2 linked regions of the Macaca fascicularis genome follow. The protein of the gene in region 1 interacts with the protein of each later gene in a pairwise test. Links are inferred from orthologs where the notes say so. Each region holds a gene or a part of one and is shown in the gene's direction. Other genes may lie near its edges.

The links.
Region 2: the proteins of GRAMD2B (region 1) and CD207 interact in binary tests that used the Homo sapiens proteins (3 or more experiments, as listed by UniProt). The two-hybrid records come from large-scale screens. The link is inferred for Macaca fascicularis from reciprocal best matches to the Homo sapiens genes GRAMD2B and CD207.

Annotation. Positions count from the first base shown.
Region 1 is NC_088380.1:133,032,190-133,035,837, forward strand, and holds part of GRAMD2B (GRAM domain-containing protein 2B), read left to right. Parts: intron 1-395; coding exon 396-499; intron 500-3,648.
Region 2 is NC_088387.1:51,060,447-51,064,544, forward strand, and holds the start of CD207 (C-type lectin domain family 4 member K), read left to right. Parts: upstream 1-1,241; coding exon 1,242-1,314; intron 1,315-1,411; coding exon 1,412-1,528; intron 1,529-3,005; coding exon 3,006-3,380; intron 3,381-3,973; coding exon 3,974-4,098. UniProt on the Homo sapiens protein: Calcium-dependent lectin displaying mannose-binding specificity. Induces the formation of Birbeck granules (BGs); is a potent regulator of membrane superimposition and zippering.

The DNA of each region.
Region 1 (3,648 bases):
CTTCAGACAGAAAGTGTGGGCTATGTGCTCTTCCTCTAGTGAGGCCATCTATTTCGAAAACAGTCATTAGTGAAAATACTGGGGAAAAGGGGAACAGGTGTACTAATACCAGCACATGATAGAGGAGACTTGTAAAACGCCATTCTTGGTCTCTCAGGTACAATAGTAGATTTGCCTTTTCATTCTGATATTTATACTGAAGTTGGTAAGACTTTGAATTTAAAAACAAACTGGTCGCCACAGCTTGCTTTCCATAAAGATGACAGAAGAAGAGGCAATAAAACTTTTGAGTATGAATGAATTCTCTGCCCATCCTTGAGTCACCAAAATATATACATGGTTTTTATTTTAAATGGAAATTCTAAATGATGCTGTACCTGTGTGTATTCTCCCAGGCTTTACCTGTGCTCTACAGAAAGAAATACTATACCAAGGAAAGCTCTTTGTATCAGAAAACTGGATTTGTTTTCATTCCAAGGTCTTTGGAAAAGACACAAAGGTTGGTATAATTAAAAAATAAATTTAAAAAAGCTAACCCCATACTTTATTGTATATGGCAAATATTAATCGTCTTAAATTTAGCTATATTTATAGATACTTATATTATGGTTAATCTTTTATGCCAAGTTTCCTTTGTTGTAATGCCAAATACTATAGGTTCTAAATGCCTCCAGATGACACTAACTTCCCTTTTTCCCTAAGCATTATTTTCTCACTCATTTCTTTACATACATATACCTCACATATACACATGTACCTCACCCATAGCCATACCCTAAATCCTTTTTACTCAGATGTCACCAGCGAACACTCAAAGTTGTTTATATGGAGGGTGTGCCATGATTTTCAAACACATACATTTAAACCAAAATCATTTCTTTTAAGAAACATCAATTTTTATACCATATTTATACCAGTTATCAGTGATGTCTAGGACAGCAGGCCAATAAATAAGGTACTTATTAGCACTCCCTTTGTACCCTCACCAGCACAAAATGAGCAGGAAGTGGAGCAGTTAAGGCCTAGCCTGGGGAAGTCAGACACCCTCGATCCCAAGTGTACTCTGATACTACATCTTTTCATTATTATTAAATACAGATTTGGGGGAGTAGAGACACATGACATCCTGAGACATTAAGCAGAACAGCCTAAAGGAATTGGCACTGCCCTCTAAACTGGGGACCGTGGGACCGTGGCCTATCAAGGAAAAGATAATTCTATCCCACTGACTTTTTTTTACCTTTGAGCTACAATGTCACATCACAGTTCATTCAGGCCTCCAGAATAACACCAGAGAAACACTTCTTGGGTTTGCATGACCTCAGTGAGTTTTCAATCATTCTGATTCATGAGTGTGAAGAAGCAACTCTCATAGTCATGAAGTAGCTGATGAAAACTTCTTTTTGTTTTGAGTGGTAGATGTGCCTTATTTAAATATTCTTTCCAAAACCACTGGCAATTGCATAAAGACCACTTAACAAATCTAATAGGAATATTTTCTTTTGTCAGTGTTGGAGCTGAAGACTAGCATACTATTCTTTAGGTAAAACATGTTCTTTTTATATTGATTTTTTATCATATAGAGCTATGTTTAGATAAGCATTATTTGATTGACAGTATTATCTGAATCAGTATAATACAAATCAATATGAAGCAGTATTTCATCTATTTCTACATTTCTGGATTAAAGGTCTTGTTCATGGAATGGGGAAGGGGATTGGGTAGTACTGATCAATGTGATATAGTTCTCAGGAATTCATATAGAGCCAACATGTCTGAGCAGAGCAGCAGGGACTGAAGACACTAATGAACAAAGCATTAGTCTTTGTTAAGCGACTGGGGGATCCACAAAGGCAGTCAGTGCACTTTCAAGCTGATATGATTCTAGCAATGATTTTAAAGTTCTACTTCTACCTAAGAACTGATAAAAAGAAGTTAGAAGAAGTGACCCTGGTTTTTTGAAGACATGGATATACTAAGATTGCTTTTGCAGTGTGTAACCTACAGAGGCAGGAGACTGAAAATTAGCAGGGCGTGGGAATAAGAACCATGATAGTGACTTCTATGTTCCATCCCTTCTAAGGATGGTGTCAAAGGAGATTTGGGCTTCAGAGATGTTGCAGAATTTCCTCACTGCCAATGGACCTCAGTCCAGCGTGATCCAGTATGAGCTGAAGGCACCCAAACAATTGCTCTACCGTGGGAACTTTCTAATCAAGTTCCCCTTCTAAAGCAGTTTACCCTGGAAAAATGTTACCATTACCCTGGAAAAATATTATCATTTACCCTGGAGAAATATTAATAAAGTGTAGCCTTAATTTAATCAGGACCTTTTTAGTCAGCCTGTTGGTATTTTCAGATGCTAGTAAAATTAGCATGCATGTATCACATTCTGTCTAGGCTCAAACTGAAAAGTGATTTAAGCTTTATTTTACAAATGTTATCTGGTTGTAATTTTATACTCATGAAGCAATTGATTGAAAACTTTCTTAAGGGTGTTCCATGCCTTAGATTATGAAAAATCTAAATTTATAGCCCTTTGCCACTGTGTGTTTGTATTGCTGCTCAGAAACAAAATTAGACTCATTTTTTTTAAATTATGATCTAAGTAGATCTCAAATTCTTTTTTTCCAAATTTATCCCAACTTGTAAGTTCTGAATTGCCTCCTGCCTTTGAAAAATATTGTGAGTGGAGTTCTTTGGCAAACAGTTTTTAGAAAATGTCTCAATTGGATTATCCCTTGTTCTTCCATAGTCTTCCTGCCTAGATCATTGAGGGCAATAAATAAGCCCATCTCATAAACCCAGATGTAAATGCAAATATTCAAAATTAAAAGCTCATTTTGTGGTCAGGCACGGTGGCTCACACCTGTGATCCCAGCACTTTGGGAGGCTGATGCGGGTGGATCGCCTGAGGTTGGGAGTTCAAGACCAGCCTGGCCAACATGGAGAAATCCCGTCTCTACTAAAAATACAAAATTAGCTGGGTGTGGCTGGGCGTGGTGGTTCACACCTGTAATCTCAGCACATTGGGAGGCTGAGGTGGGCAGATCACCTGAGGTCAGTAGTTTGAGACCAGCCTGACCAACATAGAGAAACCCCGTCTCTACTAAAAATACAAAATTAGCCAGGCATGGTGGCACATGCCTGTTATCCTAGCTACTCAGGAGGCTGAGGCAGGAGAATCCTTTGAACCTGGGAGGTTGAGGTTGCGGTGAGCCGCGATCGCACCACTGCGCTCCAGCCTGGGCAACAAGAACAAAACTCCCTCTCAAAAAAAAAAATTAGCCGGGCGTGGTGGCACATGCCTGTAATCCCAGCTTCTCAGGAGGCTGAGGCAGGAGAATCACTTGAACCTGGGAGAAGGAGGTTGCCGTGAGCTGAGATCGCACCACTGCACTCTAGCCTGGGCAACAAGAGCAAAACTCCATCTTAAAAAAAAAAAAAAAAAAAAAAGCTCATTGTGCTTGCTTCCTTCAAGCTGGCAGTACTTACATAAAGCCCATCTCTTCTCCACTTTTGAGAATATGTGAGGCATTTTCAAGAAGTAGATGTTCTGTTTTCAGGGATTAAAGTAATGGCGATCCATTTTCCTTTGAGATCAAATTTGGTTGGAGAGGTATAACATAAATTATCATGAACTTCTGT
Region 2 (4,098 bases), on another chromosome or scaffold:
TCCTACATTCCAAGAAATATTTTTATAGAGTCTGCCATGTGCCAAATTTCTCAGATTTGGCAGACTTCTTCAAAGCATGAGAAGTCACCCAGGAGAAAATGTAGTCCTTCACTGAGCTCCAAATAGGCTCCTCTGTGCCCTGAGCTTCTTGCACATATGGAACTCTCTATTCAGGGTTACAAGCAAGGAGAGAGGAAGTTGTGGACAGAGAGAGAGGAGAGAGAAACAGAAAGATTCCTAGTCTGACGTTGCTGAGCACCCCTACTTTGTTTGAAAAGCTCACATGCTACAGGAAGCAGGGAGGAGAACTCAAGTCTTAGGTTTACATTTTGAATCTCCAAGTTGCATATTATAAAGGAATATTGTATCAGCCAAGATGCGCTAATAACAGGAAGCAGAATATTCTATTGCAATGGTTGCTTCCTGGCTTCCCCCAACCAGTCTGTGCTCCTCACCACGATCAGAGTGATGTTTTTACAGTGTCCCTGTCCTTGTCTCTCTCCTGCCTGAAGTCCTTAATTGGCCTCATGTCACCCACGAGCTAGAGGTGAAGCTCCTTGACATGATCAGAAGGATCTTCATAATCAGACCCCAGGTGCCTCTTCCACCCTATGTGAGCCCCCTTCCTCACATTTTTGTGTATATTTTATGTTCCAGCAATATTGCCACTATTTTCAGTTTGCCAAGCACTCCATGCTATCTTAAGCTCCATCCTTTGGCATATGCTTATCTTTCTACTGCAGTTTTTTTTCCATTATTCCATTTCACACGCTTCTTTCAACTGGGCACATCTGTCTCTTGTGCAATTTATTTGCTCATGTCTGTCTTTCCCACCAGACTGTGAGCTGCTTGGTGCAAGGACTGTGAGTTATTCATCGCTGTGGCCCTATGCCTGGTACAGCATCGGTACCTAGAAGGCACTCAGTCCGTATTTGTGGGGTGAATGGATGGGTGGATGGGTGAAGAGAATCTTACAAGAGAAATGGGATAGCTTTGGGACAAGATGGTTAATGTATCTATGTAACAGACTCCCAGAGAAGACAACAGATGGCCTCTTTCTGAAAGCTCAGACTTCTGAGGAGGGGAGTAAGCCAGACAAGGTATCTAGTCAGGAATAGGGAAGTTGGGATGATATGGTGACCTAGTGTGGGACTGACTTCCTGTTTCCTCTAGATAAGAGCCCTTGGAGAGACAGGCAGCCAGAAGCACTTGTGCTTCCAGGGTAAGGGTGAGCACTCAGGATGACGGCCGAGAGGGAGGTCCCTGATGCACACTTCACTGTGGACAAACAGAACATCTCCCTCTGGCCCCGAGGCAAGCCACAGTCACTGCTGAGAACCTGCTCCGTGTTCTGTGTGCAAACCTGCCCTTTGCTACTCCTTCAACACACATTTTCTTCTTTTTCCAACAGAGCCTCCTCCCAAGTCTGGTCCATCTCTGTTCCCGGGGAAAACACCCACAGTCCGTGCTGCATTAATCTGCCTGACGCTGGTCCTGGTCGCCTCCATCCTGCTGCAGGCCGTCCTTTGTAAGTCCTCATGTTTCATCGTCTGGGCTTAGCCCCTCTCTGTGGCCAGCTGGCTCCCTCCAGATCCAGACCACTTCCCTGCTCTCCAGGTTTCTCCTGCCTCCGACTTTCATTTGTCTCCTTTCTCCTCTTTCCATGTGCAGTAACAGGGTGTGCCGCCCCCAGTACGGTGAGCTGATGCTCTTTCCCTCCCAATTTCTGGGAGATTATTGGGATCAGCATTTGCACATTGGTGCTCAAGGATACATTCTTTTGTCCTCAGGAAACATTTATCTAGTTTTTCATGCTGTGCTATTTTCTCTCCCTCCATCCCCCACCAATCTGAGCTCTGCTCCTTGGATTTGGAGCCTTGTGGACAGTCCCTGACAGTGCAATGTCTCCTGACCCTGTGAAGGACTAAGCCTCATGTGTCATTGGCCCCAACTCACCAGATGGAGAGCCTGACCAACAAGCCAACAGATCTCCATGACTCAGTCCCCTCAACAGGACCCGTTCGTGCTCTCTTCATTCTCCTGTCCCTGCAAAAATCATGTCTAGGGAGCCTTCCTACTCATTTGGTGTTGCGGGGTTTATCTTTCTTCCTCTTCTGGCTCTGTCAGGCTTCATGCCCTTTGCTGCTGGCAGAGCCTTCTTCCTCCTGCCAGGGCTCCAGCAAGCGGAGCAAGGGGACCCGAGAAGCTGTTGGGTTTGGTTTTCTCCCTCTGTGGCCTCGGGACATACTTGGTCTTAGACTTGTAGGCTCTGAGCAGAGTCCCCCTTCCCCCATCCTAGACCCCTGGCCTCTAGCATGGCATTTTCCTCAGGGCTCGCCTTTGAGCCTCTTGGTTTATCTTTGATCCTATCTCTGGTACCCAGGCCTGGGACCTGAGCAGAATGTGAAAGTGGGTAGGGCAAGGGAAGGGGAGAAACAGTTTTGTAATCTCCTTTTCCATGTTCTCTGGAGAAGAAGCCACTTCCAGATTAGTGGCTGGCTCTTCCCATGGTCACAGAGGGGCCCATGGACAGATGTGAGGGAGTGGTGCTGTCCTAGCAGACAGCCACTGCAGGGGTTTCTGAAAGCAGAGGGATGGCAACCAAGGGGTGGGGTCCAGGGGGAATCAAGTTCTGGGGAGAGTGATGGGGCTCATGGAGGGCACCCCTTTATCAAATGTTCCATGAACACTCAGAGAAATTTCAGGACTGGTTTCTAACCCCTGCTTCTGCTTGCCTGTGAAATTTTCTCACAGAGAGCCTGTGTTTCATCCATCTCCCCATTGTCTGTATCCACCTGTGTTCCTAGCACATGGTAGGTGCCCATTGCACATTTGTTGTATCTTAATGAATGATTGGAGGGTTGGGGTGGCCCATTGGACTGTCCTGGTTCTTTGGGAAGCTTCAGCCTGTTCCTTCTCTTCCCTTCCTTTGATCGACCTGACAACAGCCCCACTCCTGTCCCTGGGGCTCCCCTCAGCTGACCTCCTGACTTTCTCAATCCCAGATCCCCGGTTTATGGGCAACATATCAGATGTAAAGACCAATGTCCAGTTGCTGAAAGGTCGTGTGGACAACATCAGCACCTTGGATTCTGAAATTAAAAAGAATAGCGATGGCATGGAGGCAGCTGGCGTTCAGATCCAGACGGTGAATGTGAGCCTGGGTTATGTGCGTTCTCAGTTCCTGAAGTTAAAAACCAGTGTGGAGAAGGCCAACGCACAGATCCAGATCTTAACAAGAAGTTGGGAAGAAGTCGGTACCTTAAATGCCCAAATCCCAGAGTTAAAAAGTGATTTGGAGAAAGCCAGTGCTTTGAATACAAAGATCCGGGCACTCCAGGGCAGCTTGGACAATATGAGCAAGTTGCTCAAACGACAAAGTAAGTGACTCAGAAAATTACATTGAAGCCGACCAGCGGCCCATGAGATCTTACCTGTCCCAGACCTGAGGTCACTGGGCTGGTGGGTTAGGGAGGAGGCCGGGGGGAAGAGAGGGGCAGCCATGGACTAGGAAGTTAAGGAGGGAGGGCTTGAGGTTGGGAAGGACTTAGGCGCGGTTAGGAGAAAAGAGACCAGGGTCCAGCTAGAGTTCCCACACCAAAGTGCAGAATGTAAAAGCATTAGGGGCTGTCCACCCTGGCCCATACCTAGTCATTTCTCATCAAGTTCCTTTCTAGAGTCCAGGGGCTCAGCCACTTGTCATGGCCGATGGAGGGTTGCTTCCCCTCATGGGAAAGACACTCTTTGTCCATCCTCTTGCATTCTAACCTCTCCAGTCCCAAACACTCTATTAGTCTCTGTCTGACTTTCAGGATTTGAAAGAGTGTCCCAAATCCCCTACACAAGGAGCCAAGGACACCAGAGCACAGCTCCATTTGCTGCTGTCTCTGAGACCTCATTCAAGTGCCCCCACCAAGCCAGCACCCCAAGAAATCAAGAATACCAGTATTCACTTTTACCTCTTGTTCTCTAGATGACATTCTACAGGTGGTTTCTCAAGGCTGGAAGTACTTCAAGGGGAACTTCTATTACTTTTCTCTCGTCACAAAGACCTGGTATAGTGCCCAGCAGTTCTGTGTGTCCAGGAATTCACACCTG